3 linked regions of the Saccharomyces cerevisiae S288C genome follow. The gene in region 2 interacts genetically with the main gene of each other region. Each region holds a gene or a part of one and is shown on either strand. Other genes may lie near its edges.

What was found. A genetic interaction does not mean that the proteins touch.
Region 1: mutations in PYP1 (region 2) and PAU5 together harm fitness more than expected from each alone (negative genetic interaction), as found in Saccharomyces cerevisiae (one large-scale study listed by BioGRID).
Region 3: mutations in PYP1 (region 2) and REA1 together harm fitness more than expected from each alone (negative genetic interaction), as found in Saccharomyces cerevisiae (one large-scale study listed by BioGRID).

What each region holds. Positions count from the first base shown.
Region 1 is NC_001138.5:97,061-102,267, reverse strand, and holds PAU5 (seripauperin PAU5), read left to right. Parts: upstream 1-2,668; coding exon 2,669-3,037; downstream 3,038-5,207. Other genes in the region: LPD1 (dihydrolipoyl dehydrogenase), read left to right, coding at 1-640; YFL019C (uncharacterized protein), read left to right, coding at 1,663-2,016; GAT1 (Gat1p), read right to left, coding at 4,770-5,207.
Region 2 is NC_001146.8:609,707-615,641, reverse strand, and holds PYP1 (putative phosphoric monoester hydrolase), read right to left. Parts: upstream 2,008-5,935; coding exon 1,282-2,007; downstream 1-1,281. Other genes in the region: isocitrate dehydrogenase (NADP(+)) IDP3, read right to left, coding at 1-821; YNL011C (uncharacterized protein), read left to right, coding at 2,472-3,806; SPO1 (putative carboxylic ester hydrolase), read right to left, coding at 3,977-5,767, 5,852-5,935. UniProt on the Saccharomyces cerevisiae protein: Hydrolyzes sugar alcohol (polyol) phosphates. Dephosphorylates a variety of substrates, including: sn-glycerol 1-phosphate (D-glycerol 3-phosphate), D-ribitol 5-phosphate, D-sorbitol 6-phosphate (D-glucitol 6-phosphate), and D-erythrose 4-phosphate.
Region 3 is NC_001144.5:359,069-366,720, forward strand, and holds the start of REA1 (AAA family ATPase midasin), read right to left. Parts: upstream 4,671-7,652; coding exon 1-4,670. Other genes in the region: REX3 (RNA exonuclease), read left to right, coding at 5,048-6,262; YLR108C (uncharacterized protein), read right to left, coding at 7,599-7,652. UniProt on the Saccharomyces cerevisiae protein: Nuclear chaperone required for maturation and nuclear export of pre-60S ribosome subunits.

The DNA.
Region 1 (5,207 bases), on a different chromosome or scaffold from region 2:
TAAAACGAATAAGCAAGAAAATTTGGAAGCTGAAGTTTTGCTGGTTGCTGTTGGTAGAAGACCTTACATTGCTGGCTTAGGGGCTGAAAAGATTGGATTAGAAGTAGACAAAAGGGGACGCCTAGTCATTGATGACCAATTTAATTCCAAGTTCCCACACATTAAAGTGGTAGGAGATGTTACATTTGGTCCAATGCTGGCTCACAAAGCCGAAGAGGAAGGTATTGCAGCTGTCGAAATGTTGAAAACTGGTCACGGTCATGTCAACTATAACAACATTCCTTCGGTCATGTATTCTCACCCAGAAGTAGCATGGGTTGGTAAAACCGAAGAGCAATTGAAAGAAGCCGGCATTGACTATAAAATTGGTAAGTTCCCCTTTGCGGCCAATTCAAGAGCCAAGACCAACCAAGACACTGAAGGTTTCGTGAAGATTTTGATCGATTCCAAGACCGAGCGTATTTTGGGGGCTCACATTATCGGTCCAAATGCCGGTGAAATGATTGCTGAAGCTGGCTTAGCCTTAGAATATGGCGCTTCCGCAGAAGATGTTGCTAGGGTCTGCCATGCTCATCCTACTTTGTCCGAAGCATTTAAGGAAGCTAACATGGCTGCCTATGATAAAGCTATTCATTGTTGAAAACAGGAAATAATAAACAGTATAGTATATATATTTATGAAGAACCGCTTAGTATTGAGTAAGTAAAAAAAAATTGCACAAGGAATTAATATATGAGGAAACTACTAGTCGATCAGATAAGATATTATGACCAGATATGCAAAAAAAAGGGGGCGAGCTGGGAATTGAACCCAGGGCCTCTCGCATGCTTTGTCTTCCTGTTTATTCAGGAAGTCGCCCAAAGCGAGAATCATACCACTAGACCACACGCCCGAATTATTGTTGCGTTAATAAGAAAAACAGAAATATTTATATAGGAGAGTGATTAAAGGGAATCTTCTATCAACAATATCCATTCAAATTCAGGCGCATAACGTGAGTGAATATAGAATTGAGCCTCCTATTAGTCTTCCCGATTTCATTCGAGAAACATATCAGGATTAACCTGTACATTATGGTGTCTGTATTACTATTTTACATGTTCACGTTTATTTCTTGCTCATATATTCATATGGATGACCACTACGTTTGCTACCATTAAGTCTAATTATTTCAGCAACCAATATTCCATGTAAGTGTATAGCTAGTGGATATTAGACAACGGCTGCCACATGGTTAAGTCTTTTGCTCACCAGGACTACCGGTAAGAATCTGTTCCTTGTAACTCATTGCAAGGAGATTTTAGTTGCTCCCAATTATATTTTTTGAAGCACTAGCAGGGCAATGATTTTTCTTCTCGTAAGTACATGAATTATGAAATACTTTTTGGGATTTCGTTGTTGTCAAAGGCTATAAAATTTAGTATACAAAGTATACCAGAAAGTTTCCTCGAGGATATAGAAATTCACAAAAGGAAATCGATATTTCTATGTAATAATATAATTAAATTTCCTTCCATCTCATATCCTGTCATTAATTATTCCATTACAACATCATTCCCCTGAATTTCAGCTTCCACTACACCTGAGACTATCTCTCAAACGTTACGCCATATTCTCACACCCATATTATAATATAGTAGTAATATGAATACTAATCGGTAGATGATAGTTGAACTTTATTCAAATATCATCGAAGTAAGAAGATATACTACTAAAGACTCCCTTTGCTCTATATTCGAGTCAGGCTCCACCAGTCATTTCGAAATTAACCAGTTACAGGTCAAAAGACTAAACTTACTGCAAAACCAATTTGCTTCTGTTTTCACTTCTTTCCACCCCAAAGATAATACAAAGGGCATACATATCAATTTTTTTTCACCTGTCACTAGGATAACTGACCTTCAATATTCCTTTTTTTATACGAATCAGATACTGTTCGGTACACGATATCTAATTAAAATGATTCAAAACTTTGTAACAGGTAAAGTTTTCACTAGAACCAATCAATCCAAGTGAATTAGGGGAAACCATAGTTGTTGATTTGTAGAAACCTCACATTGTACATTGTTGGTTTGTTGGGCATATCAGAACGAGAGATTTTCCAACATTCAATATACACTAAACCCTATGACGAGTCCCACAGATGGCGTAAGGTTTTTATGATTTCAGCAGGGTACGACGACTAGTACCATATTAACATTTTTTAGTGTTTCTAATTTGGGAAAAGGTCCGTGTTTTTTCTCCTAGCAACCGTTTAGTGCCAAGGGTTAGGCAATTGAACGAGGCCAAGACAATATTGGCTTTGCTTCTATTACTTGGCTAACATTGTGTCTGCAGGTCGAAAGGCACCTTTACTGTAAGGAACATTCTTGCGCTCTAAACATACGAAGATATGGGGAATATGAAGCGTGTTTCTTATACGAAGTGCAGCATCGTTCAAGGAAAATACACCCCCATAGTAATAATGGCTAAGTGGCCAGGAATTAGAATATGTGAGATATGAGTGCAAAATGAGTGACCAGTAATAGCCTGTTTGGGATGTAATTGCTCAAAAAATTTATATAAATACAGCGGTTTGATCAGCTTTGTTTGAGACATTTCTCTGTTCTTTTCCTTCCAGTTAAGCTTATATCTCCACTAAGCAACAACCCAAAAAACAACAAATACAATGGTCAAATTAACTTCAATCGCCGCTGGTGTCGCCGCCATTGCCGCTGGTGCCTCCGCTGCAGCAACCACTACACTATCTCAATCTGACGAAAGAGTTAATTTGGTTGAATTAGGTGTCTATGTTTCCGATATCAGAGCTCATTTGGCTGAATACTACTCCTTCCAAGCTGCCCACCCAACTGAAACTTATCCAGTTGAAATTGCAGAAGCTGTTTTCAACTACGGTGATTTCACCACCATGTTGACTGGTATTCCCGCCGACCAAGTTACCAGAGTTATCACTGGTGTTCCATGGTACTCTAGCAGATTAAAGCCAGCTATCTCTAGCGCTCTATCCGCAGACGGTATCTACACTATTGCAAATTAGAGATAGATTCCCTTAGGGATAAAATGTGATACGAATTAGAGAATAACGAAAAATATACAATTTTTTTTTTTTTTTTTGATATAGAAATAGTTAAAATACATTCAAATGTATACCGATATTATAAGCTTTCTCGATTAGTTTCGGTGCTTTTTTGAAGCCGTAAGTAATATGCAAATTTGTTATGACTTCTTTTCTATTCTTGCAGCAAATGTTGGGATTTAACTTCCAACTGGTGCCGTGCCATTTTTATTATTAACTTTAATAATGTTCTATTGTATTGGGACGGAAAAAGCTTATTTCTTAAATTGGAGCAAGAATCTCGGAGTTCGGTGCCTATCCGAAGGTTCGCCCTGACGAAATACACTAGGCAGGAAAGTTTTCTCACAACAAGAATTAGAAACGATATTAAGCCTGGTTCAGTTTACACATCAGACATACTCGATGAGTTAATACAAAAAAAAAAATTGCAGGTGCTTTATAAAGTAAAATAACATCGTGGAATGCAAGTTATTTTTTAGTCATCCACAATTGCTGCAGTGGTATTATGAGGCAGGATTTTTTTGACACCACAATTATGGTATTTTCGTGAGCAAACCCAACTTTTGGTATATGTCTAGATGCAGAGAGTGCCGTAATCCTTTTTCTCGTCTCCTTTTTCTTAGCACACTACTTTTTGATGTGGAAATATAAGTTATGCAAGAGAAAAAACAGAAGGGCTTTACAAAATTATCCTCCTTCCGATTCTGAAGGTGGGCTCTCTAAAGTATCTAAAATCGTAGGGGAGTACTGCTACTACCATCACTGACATTTGGGGCTTATTCTTTTCTGAAAATTCAAGATTTTTCAGACACGACCAAACAATTAGTACGCACCGACTACTGCAGTTATTTATCTGTCAAGCCACAGAAGTTTCTTCCTTCCTTTTGTGTGGATATTGCGGTACACAGCGGGAAACTCCTTAGTGTTCATAAAGAAATACGATCATATGTAGTATACAACCTGTAATTACTTCTTGTGGAGAGAGATAGTTTTTTTACTTTATTTTGTGACCGGCTGTGATTTCAAACAGTAAGCCAACTTCCAGAGAAATGCCTTGTTATTAAGGAAATACCCATCCGTTGGAGCGCACCGTCGGAAAAGTAGCAAATTGCATCAACATGATGCAAAAAGTCGAAATAACAAGGTCCCGCTTTTACACATCACAAAATGATGCCATTCAGATCCAGATCTTTCTGCCTGATGAAAGAAAATCCTTGCCATTGTCTTGTTTTGACGAGGTATTCCCAGAACACATCATTGTTCGTACTCGCGGCTTCCATTTTATTATTTTTGAAAAATGCTGCCAAATAAAGAAGCAAAAAAAAAAGGATGTTCAGGTCTCGGTTGCTCTTACTGAGCTTCTAGTGACGTCATATAAGACTCAAATAAAGTAATTGCCTAGGATAACTGGTTTAGTTCTCTTTTAAATTTGGGAGGGCCATTCCTGTGTGTGAGCCCTGCGCCTTTCAACTATTCTGTCACCGCCGCAATAGATGTTGGGTCACATGGAAGCATAACGCACACTGAGCTTTTGATAAATGTTGCACTTTTTTTGTTATTTTTTTTTTTTTTTTATGAAATAAATATAGTGTTCTTCTTTTTATTCTATGTATACATAGAGTTTGATTAGTATGTGTATATATATATGAAGCGGACATGGAAAGAAGCGAGTACTTTTTTTTTTTTGGGGGATCTATAAATTCAGATTCAACCAATCCAGGCTCAGATTGCCATTTGGAGTGGTGTTCATGTTTGAGTTTGGATTTGTGTCTCCAGAATGATGATCTATTGCGGAGTCCAAAGGCTTCCAGAAGGCTTCATTGTTGAAGGAGGAGGTTGAGGCGTTGTGAAGGTTCATGTTCATAGTCATATTCATATCAGGCCGAAAGCTGGAGAACGTTTCCGCCTCGATGGGTACGGAACTCGAAAGGTGGTGGCGAGTGTTAGAGCGGAGGTATTGTGGGATGGAAGGTGAGGCAATCTTCGGAATGGGTATGTCCTGAGACTTCAAAGGTGCGACAATGTTCAGTGAGTTCTTCCTCTTGGACGCTGCCACACTTGCTGTATAGTTTTTCTTTTTCCCTGCTGCTCCCGGATTGAGAGACGACGATGGAGGGGGCGTTATATTGTT
Region 2 (5,935 bases):
CCATCATAATTCTTCATGGCGATTATAAACCCGCCCTTTGATTTTAGCATCTGTGCTACCATATCATCAATCAAACGATGCTCGTACGTTATTTTTAAAGCCTGAAACTTTTCCTTATATTCTTTATCGAACAAATTATCGAAAATTTGTTTGAACTGATTATCATAATTTTTCAGAATAGTGTTTTTGGTTGTAAAGAATAACGGTAGTTTTCTTTTGAGAGCTAATTCGAAGGATGCCTTTGCGAACCCTTTAATGGAATCATTTGTATTAAACATTGCCATTGCGATCCCACCACTTTTAGGAAATTCATAAACCTTTAAATCGATGTTTTCTTTACCGTCATCTGAGCTAAACTGTAACCTTAGTTTGCCTGCTTTTTTAATCTTGATGTCAGTAGCCCTATATTGGTCACCAAAAGCATGACGGCCTATAATTATAGGTTTCTCCCAGTGAGGGACTAGACGAGGTATTTTTGGAATAATGATGGGTTCTCTAAATACAGTTCCACCTAGGATGTTTCTGATTGTTCCATTTGGAGATTTCCACATTTCTTTAAGGTTAAATTCTTTCATTCTTGCCTCATCGGGTGTTATAGTGGCACATTTGACAGCAACCCCATATTTTAGGGTAGCATAAGAAGAATCCTTTGTTACTTGATCATTAGTCCTATCACGCTCTTGGATTGAAAGGTCATAGTATTTTAAATCCACATCTAAATATGGCAATATCAATTTTTCTTTGATAAGTTTCCAAATAACTCTTGTCTGCTCATCACCGTCCATTTCCACGATGGGATGAACAACTTTAATTTTACTCATTTTAACTTGGACAACTATCTCTAAAGTGTTGCTTGTGTTTACTGCAGGTATGTGCAGGAGAAAGCTTATAAGGGGAACACTCTTATATACGAAGATGCAAAATTGGGGTAATTAATGTAAATTTAAGAATGACAAGAAGAGTTGACTAGTACACGCAACGAAATACTAATCACATTTTACTTTTCCCCTAAAAGAGAGCTCCTGCTTTTCTCTTTACTGTCCCTTTTGGTATGTTTGATTGATTTCTAATTAGTATACTTGAAATATCATTCGTTTTGTATTAAAGATTCGGCATTAAGCATGCTAAATCCGAGGAGGATCTTCCTTTATTTTTTGATGTTCTTTCTCTCAGACAATAAAAAAGATATACAAGAAAAATATAGTACGTACGTATATATGCATACATATGTAAGAGGCAGTTACACGGTATTAAACTTTAATATTTCGTAAGAGTCTTGCACTAATTTTCCATCAATTCAGCGACTGTCTTTTCACCAGCCAGAACTTGTTTCATGCTAGCCAAGATGTCTTTGAAGGTATCGAATTCATGGAATGGGACGTTTTGTTTTTTACAATAAGTGACCAAATCTTTACCTCTTTTGGCAAATAGCAAATCACATTCTTTTGCAGCACTTAGATCAGAAACACCGTCACCACAGTAAAAGTAAACGGGTCTTTGTTCACCTGCTTTCAAGGTAGATTCAAATTTCTTTTTATAAGCATCGATACTTCTGGATTTGTCATGTCCGAAGGGACTTTCATCCTTATAGATGATTTTCCATTGATCATGTGCATCGATTTCCACTTCATTGGAAACAATGTCAATTTTGTGAATAGACTCTTGTCCAACTAATCTGGTCAATAAAACCTTGATAATTGGTTTCATTCCGCTGGAAACAACGATGACAGGGACATCATTTTCTTGAGCCCATTCGAATGTATCCTTGAAACCAGGATCCAATCGAATTTTCTTTTCTAAGATCTTGATACACTCAGGGAAAGGGGTGTGGATGGATTCCAGCATTTCCATGAAACCTTGCCTAAAAGACTTAGTATCATCTAACACGCCTTCGAAGACCTTTAATCTTTTTTCCTTACCGAAACCTAAAGTATCGGTCAGATAATCGTTAGAATCTTCCAAAGTAACGGTACCGTCGAAATCGGTAAAAATAACAGCTTTGACCATTTCCCTTGTATATATATAAATGCTATGTCACTCCAGCTTATGTTATGTGAGCAAGTTTCAAGAATGTGTGCGTTCTGTTGAGATAAACAATAGAGGACACTGTATTTTTTTAATTTAAGATGATGAAAAATTATGCGATAATTTTCGAAAATTTCGCTCATTTTAGAAAAAGAGATTTGAACAGGGTACCATAGTAGAACGATAAAAGAATATGTCGTACAATGTGTTGGGTTGTTGATATCCAATAAAGAGTTTTTTTCAGCGTGTAATGCTTAGATATTATGTGGAAAGTTACTACTGTTGTATTAACCTGTTTCGTATTTCCTAAAGAACGCTAATGTGTGATGTTTGGGTTTATTTCTTAAGCTATTTAGGCGGACTATGAAAGAGAGGAAACGGAATCTTTTGTTCCCTCGAGGTAATAAGGGGACAAAATAGCAGAGTGTGGTGAGATAGTTTACTAGATGAACGTCGTTGTGTGCTCCGGTGGGACTGCCACAAATTCATTGACTCCTTGCTTTTCTAATATTTCTATCTTAAAAGGACATGAGCTGACGTATATATTGCCAATATCAGATAATGGCGGGTCCACAAGTGAAATTCTACGAATAGTTGGTGGCCCAGCAATTGGTGATATCAGATCTAGAATAGTGAGACTACTTCAAGATGAACAGCTTGTCGAGTTGTTTGGCCATAGGCTACCTAATGATAAGTTATTAGCTAAGAAAGAATGGAATGAAATAGTGGAAGGTTCGCATCCCATATGGAAAAATATTTCGATAGAAGTTAAGGAAATGTGTCGTTCTTTTATTATCCATATGCAAGCAGAACTCTTGAAAAAAATCAAACACTCGAATCCATTTCAGTTTGAGAGTGCATCCATTGGAAATTTTTTCTTAACTGGTGCTAGATTGTTTTTAGGTTCTCTAGACGCATCTATTGAACTAATGATGAGGATAGGAAGGTGCAGTCCTCTAGTTCATGTTATTCCATGTATAAATACCAATCACACACATCATATCTCGGCTTTGTTGACGAATGGTGAGATGATAACTGGCCAATCACAAATATCGCATCCCTCGAAATCTGTTCCTAAAGATAATAGCATAGCACATTCAGCTAAATTTATTCATTTACTTGGCTCTTATGACGACCATTTGAAAATTCTCCTCGACGATGAGGAAGAAGAAGCGGAAGAGGAGTATGCCAATCCTATCTATATTCTTCCAGAACTGAAAAACTCCCAGTTGCATTTTGACAAGCTTGATGAATCACAGAATCTACCTGCTCCGGTACATAGGATATTGTATATAAACCCATATGGCGAAGAGATAAAACCAATGGGAAATCCAAGAGCTATTTCCAAGGTGAAAAAAGCTGACATGGTCGTTTATTCTATCGGTTCTTTAATGACAAGTTTACTCCCAATCCTTATTCTTGGTAATCTTGCTGAAGTAATTTTGGAATCTAATAATACGAAAAAAGTTTTGCTCATAAATAATAAATATGATAGAGAGGTTTTTGGTTTAGACGGTTTACACTACGTTCAAATGATCATAGATTCTATGAGTAGGGCAATAGCAGGCTATAGGCAATCTAAGGGTGTCCATTCAGAGAATGATGACTTTGAATGGCAAGATTTTATTACTGATATTGTTTACCTAAAAAATGGTGAAATTGAAATTGATGAAACGATATTCGAGAAGCATAGTATTAGATGCCACCAGATCGCGTCTTCGGATAAGATGGAAAGTGAAGAACTTGAAAAGGTTCTGAATCAAATTGGCCTTAAAAACTGATGCAACTATGTCGCTCATTAACGGTTATTATAGTGAAGACTACATAATAAAGACATAGATAATAAAAAAGAATCGCGTTTGAACCATGTTTTATTTAACCATATGGCATAGAAGAAAAGTAAAAAAGGTGAACAAAAACTCATTAAATTTCACAGAAAAAGTCTACTCTCTTATGAGTAACAGTAGTCTTTAAAGCATTGTAAGCAAAATGGCGAAAATTTCTTTTTTCTTGGGAGCCTGTCCATTGTTCTTTTGGTTAATATACAGCCTAAGCAATTTTTATAATAAAGGTCATAATCATTGCTAAACACTCCCCTTCCAGTGGGTAACATACTGCTAACTTCAGACTGATTGTAAGTTATTTTGAATGTCGACGTATTAGATGCGTTTCCATGATTCGCATTGGCATGATAAATTATAATTGGCAAAAATGAATCATGTCCAGTTCTTTTGGTAGCATTGCATCCTATAACAATGGGGTGAGTGAATGTTTTTACATTGTTCGGAAATTGGTAATGAACGTTCTCTTCATCTAATTTTTCGAATATCCTTTTTAACTTGGAGCCGTTTGGATAGTTGTCAATATCCGAACTAGAATCCAGAACAAAAATTACATCTAGTTCCCTTTCAGGAATCACCAATGTTCTGAGTGGAATATTCTCGCCGTCTTCTCCGCCGTCTACAAGGTATAAATGATTTTTGTTAGTTAGGACATTGTCTTTTTCAGGATAAAGATAAAAGGGATTGGGTTGATATACGGCATAGTCTGTCTCTAATCTCGAGGAGTCTTTCGAAATACTAAATATTTCCTCTTTACCTAGGCCAAAAATTCCCATAACCATATTCAAAGCTTTCATTGCTTCTCTGGAGGACTGAGAAGCCAAATTCCAGATGAAGATGAGCACATTGTTGAATATTGAAGAAGACGTCGCAGTAATAAAACCTAGATCATCAAAGTTATTAATACACTTCTCGGCCTTTCCAGAAACAATTTTTGAGCCCAAATAGGGCAACTTGACGAAAAGTCTGAGGATATTTTCCCAAGATCCAAATTCAAAGGGCGTAAATTCAAATATAACGTTTGAAAGAAGTCCATTTTTGCAATTTGCAACGAATATTGGGATCGGCACACTGCATTCCTTAAATTTTTTAGACGAGTTTACAAGCTTCGAAAACGAAAAGGAATGGTTGGGATCGTCATCGAAATTTTTTTTTAGTCTTTGAACGATTGCTTTACCCCAATAATCGGTGAACGATATTTGGAAACCCTCCATTTTTTTAGGCTTAATTTTCAAATGCAAACTTTTGTAAAAGTCTAGCACTTTTTTAAAGGTTTCAATCTTCGCATCAGTTCCAGTGAAAGTGTTGTTAGGAAAGAATATTTTTTTTAGTCTTGCTAATGGATTCAAGTTTCTCTTCGTTATCATATAGTCTTCTGGGATTTCTTCTATGGAATTCATGATCTCCTCTATTTGTTCATAAAAATTTGAAGAGCTTGTAATCAGAGAACCCCCCTGACGCTTCTTCATCTTCAAATCATTATCATTATACTCCTTTTTTGCATTGGTAACAATTTCTTCTTCGGAAATATCGAATTCCGGTATGCCTAATAAAAGATCCTCTTCAAGGTCCCACTCTTGTAGCAGGGATTTTACTTCAAAATTTTGAACTACCAAATCCATCAAGATCCAACTTCCGCCTGATAATCCAGCAATATAATCCGAATATTCAAAAAGGCCATAATCGTTCATTTGGGAAATAAATCCGGTACCTACTAACATGGATCTGTACCCGCCGCCAGATATAGCAATCCCAATTTTTGGAGGATCTTTCAACACGCGTTTATAAAACTTCGAACTAAACTTTGCCTCTGTCAAGGATTTTAAAAACTGAATCAGTTTATTCTTCGTTTTAATTTTTTTTTTCTTCAGATACAAGGTTTCTTCTGGACAGAGTTCATGCTAATAAACAAAGGAATACGAAGTTTTGGTATATTCGGTTAGTTTTGGCCCATATTTGTTAAAGTGGCAAAGAGTTTAACTTACTTTGGCCTCCCTAATAAGTGGAGAGCTAGGACATTGTACCTGAAATGGTGCTGTTGCTAGTACTACTGTCAATAACACAGAAAA
Region 3 (7,652 bases), on a different chromosome or scaffold from region 2:
CTATTTCTTAACGCTGGAGATAATTCTTTTTTACCGTAATCTCCACCAGGGTTCATGGTTGCGAAGAATTGAAAGTTTTCTGAAGCCGTTACAAGGCTATCGGATGAACCCTGTTCTGCTAACAACAAACTCCTTTCTGGCTCCAAAACACTATTTAGTCTTTCAAGAACGGAATCATCTGCTAGCGATATTTCATCAAGTAGAAAAAAATTTCCCGTCCTCATAGCTTGAATCAGAGGCCCGTCACTCCATTCAAATAAAACATTCAAACTATCCCTCAGCTTTTGTATTTCCAGTTGAACATCTTCGGCTATATTTTTATTATCTGACTTAGAATATAGCTGTAATAACTCTTTCAAGTCTACATCTTGGTCATTAGCAATATTCAATGCTGTTTTTAAGGATTTTATTAGCTTATATTGAATTTCAGACCTGTTACGAACAGGTCTTTGAGCACCTAATATGTCTCCAGTTTCTGTGTTTTGATGGGCATTTAGTGTGATCAGTTCTCGACCCATGAATTGCGCCAATAATTGGCAAATTGTTGTTTTGCCGCACCCAGTTTCACCTACCAGTAGTACTGGCTCCTTATTCTTTAAACAACTAGAAACTAAGACGGATAGTCGGCGCATTCCTTTTGTCCAAGTAACAGAGCCAATGGCTTCTAAGGATTTATCTTCCAGACTTGCATAATATTGGTCCATATCTAATTTAACTTTCATTACTTTTTCTAAAGTCTTTTTGACTGTAACTTTTTCTTGTGGAGTTCTGCACCTTTCTGCAAGAAGCATATAGCCACTGGCAGCAAGCTGCTCATATCCCACTGCGTCCCTTAAAGCCCAGCGGAAAAGATCACGTAGAGTTGCAAAACTATTTTTCTGTTCGAACAACCTTGAAGCGGAACGTTCGATGGATAATTGGCGGTATACTTCAACGATTTTCTTTGCATATGATGGGGCAATTTGGCAGCGCTCACGTAGGATAATTTCTAATTCATCTTGCGGAATATCGTCGAAGTGCAACTCCAGAAAACGATTCCTAAAAGCTCTTGAAAGAATTTTACGGCCACCGTATATCCCAGGTGGATTCTGGGTAGCAAAAAGAAGGAAATCAGGATGAGGATGTACAACTTCTTGTGTTTCTGGAATAAAAAGTTCTCTGTTATCGTCAAGTAACCTATTTAAGGCTTCTAAAACATCGGTTGGGGCAAGATTTAATTCATCCAAAACAATCCAATATCCTTTTCGTAGTGCCTCGACTAAAACACCTTCCTTAAACGACAGCTTTCCGGTATCATCGGTAACATATGTACCTAAATATTCCTGTAAATCTGTATGCTCATGGTTATTTATACGGACAAACTTATGGCCCGTTATATCCGCAAGATATTTGATCATACTGGTTTTTCCCGATGAAGTTGGACCTTGAATAAGCACAGGAAATCTTTTGCCTGATGTAGCTCTTACCAAATTCATCATATTCTTTTCAACAAAAGGCGTAATGATATAGTGAGCTTGTTCTTGAATTGTATTAGGGCCCTTTTTCATCCAATAATGCTTAAACTGAACATAATCTGGTCCTGGAGAGGGAGGTGTCTGTGACATGATTGACTTGACATTTTTTAGCCTCCCCAATGTGAATTTTTCTATTACTGGCTTCAGAATGGCCTCAGATTTTTGGTCCAGTAAAGTCAAAAAACTCATACAGAATCCATCATACAGGGAACGGCGTAGACCGTAGATATGAATAATATCAGTAACATAAAGCAATGTACGCGTCAGGGTACGGATACTAAAGTGTGGTTTTTGGTTTGAGCCATCAACTATAGTATTGTTATCGGAGAGTTTTTTGGCTTCAAGGTAAAGTTCAGCGATGTCATTTCCTACCCATTCATCGCTGACGCTGTACTTTCCAATATATTTATCAATTATGGAAAGCAAATCAGTAATATCACGTTCCGGAGAATGTACATATATTTCGGTAAATCTTGATCTGATACCCATAGGTAAGTCTCTTTTACCAACATCAGTAGCGGGGTTCATACAAGCAAATATTCTAAAATCGGGGTGAGCTTTTATAGGCTCAGCGTCACCCTTTTCTGAAAGAAGAATACTACGAGAATCAGGCTCGGTGAGAAGGTCAGAAATACTTTCTAAGGTATCTGCGGTTGCTAAATTCACTTCATCGAGCAATAGCCACTCCCCAGCCCTGATAGTCTTTACCAAAGAACCCTCGACAAAATTGAAGACAAACGAGTTTTCAATAGAGCTAGACTGGGCCTCAAACTTCTTCACTGAGTCATTGAAGTCAGCCCATTTGTCAAGTAACAATTTTTTTTCATGAGTATTGAGTCTTCTTTTCTTCTTCTTTGCATTTTCGTTTTCATTTTCAGTGTTTGTAATTTTTAATATGCTTTGAGCCATTTTGTACGCTTCGTTCCAAAGTTTAACAACGTTCTTCCATTGATTCTTGTTGAAGCACCTATGTAGCATCTTGTGAAACTTCTCGTTCTTCTTTAAGGAAAATGTAGCATTAAAAAGAGTTTCAAAATTTTCTTGTATAGGAACTGCAACTGTTTTAGAATTTACGGGTTTGTACCCACCAAGAAGATCACCAGTTTCTGTTTGTTGTGAAACATTGATTACCGTTAATTTTTTTGCTAACATCTTAGCAAGTTGTTGAACGACTGTAGTTTTCCCGGTACCCGTTTCACCGACTAGTAAAACAGGTTCAGTCATCTGTATACAAACAGAAATCTGTTCCATTAGTCTTAAAGAATGATTCGTAAATGCGAACAATGTGCTGTTCATTGATTTTTTTTGTATATTTAGCTTTTCCTTAAGTAATACGGCTCTTCCAATTTTAATGCTATCATCAAGGTTTTCCAAAGTGGGCACATGTTGGGTCAAAAATAACGAAATCCTTGAGGAAGCAATGTCTAATGACTCGCCGATTGCTTGTATAATAGGTTCCAAAGCTTTGAATTCTCCAATAGCGCCAGCGAAACAGTCGGCGGCTTCGGAGAAAATACTGTCGTAGACAGAAGACTGGATTAGTTGGTCAGGTTTGTTGATGCCATTGTTTTTGAATAGGATGTCTAACCTTTCGCACAGCTTAATTAAATCTCTTACAGATACAACTCTTGTGTGTGCCCCCTTGTTCAATGAAATGAACTTGGTGTTCATATAAATACTTTTGACGTTTTTGTATGAATCGATTAGTTTGGGGATAAGGTTGGTCAAAATGGGAAACTTTTGGGCTAAAATGTGTGTCAAATCCTCTTCGCTAGGTTCCTCTAATTCAATAACATTCCAGATTCTCATACCAATCATATTCAAGTTATAGATCTTATTGGAACTATCCTTCTGATGATCTTCGTTTATTCTAACAGTTGATATTAACTGGAAACCATTTGCAGCCTTTACAGTCTCTCCTCTGGATGGAATGGTTAGTTCGCGCTTTTCTAAAAGCGATAAAAGTATTGATAAAACATCTGTAGGAGCTTTATCTATGTCTTCTATAAGTACCCATCTCCCTTCTTTGACCGCGGTAGCGAGAACACCAGCTCTCCATTCAAACGTGCCTGGCTTGTCACCAGAGGTATAAGTACCAATCAGTAACTTGGCATCAGTTTGTTCACCTAAATGAATTTTCACAATGGAGTCATGGCAACCCATATATTTACTTAGCTCATTGATTAAAAAGGTTTTACCGGATCCCGCTTTTCCAATGAGCATTATTGGAGTTGAATTTTGAATCTTTCTCCCGAGTTGACGAAGAGAGGAAACCGTTTTATGAGTAGGGACAAAGGTTAATGGGTAGAATACTTTGTCGTGGATAGTGTGGACCTTAGGGACGATAACGCCACAGATTGACGCGACCTTAGTACTCAAATCCTGAGGCTCAATAATGAAGTAGCTAGATTTTTTTTCTATAGTGAAACATTCTGGAACACTGGGTAGTTTAGAGAAATTTGCACATCTCTTAGCTTCGTTCAGTTCGAGGAAGCTGTAATCAATTCCAGAATCGCCCTCAAAATGGCCCAACAATGAATCGCGTGATTTTATATAAGTGTCGAGCATATCGTTTAATGTTTTTTCTCCCATGTCTAAGTATAAAGATAAAACCTTTAATGCTAGAAATATAACAACCTGATTTTCTTGTTCTTTGGTGAGTAAATCCACAAGTTGGTATAAAATGTCGGGTTGAATGAAGCGTGCAAATACTTCTTTATTGTGATATAGTAACCTATAGTATGCTAATAGTATTTTAAACATGTCGGAATCCTTTTGTGTGGATGGATTTTGAAGAATAGTGATGAAATGATCATTCTCTTTATCTAAATAGTCTTCAATTAATGGCATTGCAACGGGAAATATTGTAATTATACTTGCCAACTTTTCAATTACAAGAACGTAATCTTTTTTTTTGGAGTCCTTTATCCAACGTGCCACTATCTCTAAAAAAATATGTTTGTAAAGGAAAACATGACCAGTGATGGAACGGCTATGTAGTATAGTTCCTGCTAAATTGTCTAAATTCTCAGAAGTTGATTCCTTGTTGCTAAAGTGGAAGGGCGCTTCAATAGCATCAGAGGGAAAAGCAGAATTGAAGAGAATTAACCTTTGGTTAACTACGTCTAAATCTAACAAAATTCTATCCTGGGACATTCTCAGCAGATTATAACGGTTTTAAAAATAATGTGACCGCGTAAAGTAGAGGTACCTTAAAATAATAAGAGTAGAATTCGATGTCAAATTAACTCAGAGGTACTTTGAATCTTTAAAATAATCACTTTGGAGAGGAATGTCTAAAGTAAAGCAGTAAGTGATATAATGTTTTCTTTTCATAAAGCTAAATAGACCTTAGCTCATCGCTTCTTTAAAATTTTTCACTCGAAAAAGAAAAAATACCTCGTAAAGGGCGACAATAAATGATGAGTAGAAAAAGAAATGGAATAACGGTTCAAGTGCATTTAAAATCAATGCCTTGAATATGTGTTTCAGTATACATTCAGTTTGACTATATATCAAGAGAAAGCTTTAGTATGGGAAGTTTGTTGAGACCGGTTGATCTGGTAAATCAACCGCTTGGATTCCAAGAAAGATATAAAATTTTGCAGAAATTATTCAAGCAGCTACAAAAGGCATATGCACACACAAAAGGAACTAATATTGACCTTGAAAGACTTGCCACTCGCTTAGAAGTCCATGTTGCTAAAAACAGCTTGTCTGGTCAGAGTTACAAGTTTAACATGAGCATTTTACTGCGGGATGTGCTTAAATATAAAGGAGATCTCTCGAAGATCAAAATTAATGGGCGCCCCCTTAAAGGAGCTAAGCCTCATTTATCCTCAATTGGTAATGCAAACTCTATCACTACAAAATCAAAAGCGATGGAAGCTTTAAAGGCTCTGATTTTGGATTCGAAGGTCTTAGAGAAAAATGGGTATATTGTTAAGGAAATGCAAAATAAAACTAATGATGACAATAGTACGCAACTGTATGCACCTTGTTTGCGTTGCAGCTCAAATTTCAAAAAAACAGACATCATGGAAAAGACTCTATGTAGGTATCACCCTTTGAAAAGAATATACAACAGAGATACCAAGAACCATCAGTATCCATGCTGTGGTGAAACTACTGATTCCGTTTCTTTTCTAAGGCTAGGATGCAAGACGTTTTTTCACCATGTGTTTAGAGGAGAATCATATGACGAGTTATGCAAAATTTCGAAGTTTTCTAGTACAGATGACATTGATGGTGTTGAGAATGTTCTTTCTCTTGACTGTGAAATGGCTTTTACATCATTGGGCTATGAGATGATACGTTTAACAATTGTGGATTTTTTCACCGGCAAGACACTATTTGATCATGTAATTCAGCCAATAGGGGATATTGTCGATCTGAATTCAGACTTCAGTGGTGTCCATGAGATTGACCGAACCAATTGCCCGACGTACAAGGAGGCACTTGATGTTTTTTTATCCGAAAACTTAATAAATAAAAATAGTATTCTTATAGGGCACGGACTAGAGAACGATCTGAACGTCATGAGGCTATTTCATAATAAGGTTATAGATACTGCAATACTTTATTCAAGAACAAAGTTTAAGGTTTCTTTGAAGAACTTAGCGTTTGAAGTTTTGAGTAGAAAAATCCAAAATGGCGAGCATGATAGTTCTCAAGATGCAATAGCAACGATGGACGTTGTTAAAGTCAAAATAGGTATTTCTCCAAGTCAAAACAAGTGGGAAAAATAATGTGATCATATTCAAAGTTGAGCAGACATATATAGTTATTACATTTCATACGGTTCACATGAGTTTTATTAAGTAATTACGTTAAGAAACAACATGATAAAAGTAATGATTTCGTATTGCTTTCCTATTTTCTGTATTTAAGCGAACAATAATAATGCACCTTTTCAATATCTGAATATTAAAATATCGTGAAATTGGGTTCAGGATGTACCAAACTTGATGATAGCTGAAGCACCATAATCCTATTTAAAGAAGTACCTGTTATCCGTCAGTAATTACCAGAACAAGTTAATTTTAAGTTTAATCTAAAAAAGTATTGCATGCGGCATTAAAAGACAACATAAAACATCTAAACGGTAAAGTATGATCGATAATTCTCCATAATAGTTCTGTTATTTATAATCTCCAGCACTAATAAATGCTATACGTATATTTGTACACAATATAATTTCAGAATTTATATTGCTACCATGACTGTCTGAGAATTGGGGGAATAACTTGATAATTGTTGGGATTCCATTGTTCGTAAACGCAATAATATTAGGTATATAGAAGATACTAAATGTTCTCTCCGAGGATATAGGAATGCTCACAATGGAATCGATATATTTCTACATAATAGTATTGAGATTATTCCTCTTTTAGTTTTATATAATTCATTATCCTATTACATTATCAATCCTTGCATTTCAGCTTCCATTAGACTTAATGACTGTTTCTCAATTTTTATGTCATCTTCCTGGACCTCATGTGATACTATACCAGTAGCATGAATACTACTGAATCGATGATACTTTAGAGTTTCATTGCAACAGTTTCAACACAGCCTGGCATGAACAGTGGTAAAAGTATTTCGTCCACTATTTTCGGCTACTATAAATAAATGTTTTTTTCGCAACTATGTGTTCGCGAAGTAACCCTTCGTGGACATTTGGTCAATTTGAAACAATACAGAGATGATCAGCAGTTCCCCTGCATAAGGATGAACCGTTTTACAAAGAGATTTATTTCGTTTTTTTTTTATCATCGAGTGAAGTATCGTGACTTGTACATTTGAAGATACCCAGCGTACAGCAGTGTATCTTTATCTTCCTGTATGATATAGATAACTAACATCTCGAATAGAAAATTGTCTCGCGTTCGAACCTAAGCCTTTGCTATCGGTTGAACATAGAAGACCGCGTGATTCATTTTAGTGCGTAAGAATGCTATTAGTACTTATGTGCTTTATGAATGTGAATATTGTTACAGCTATGCAATGGTACGATCATACTCTGAACGATCCATTTAAATTATATATGTCAAACAGAAGAGAAAGGTTTTTTTATTGAAGATTTCACAGAAAATCAATCATTTTGCAATATTCCTTCGTCCCAGAGAAGGTTTCGGC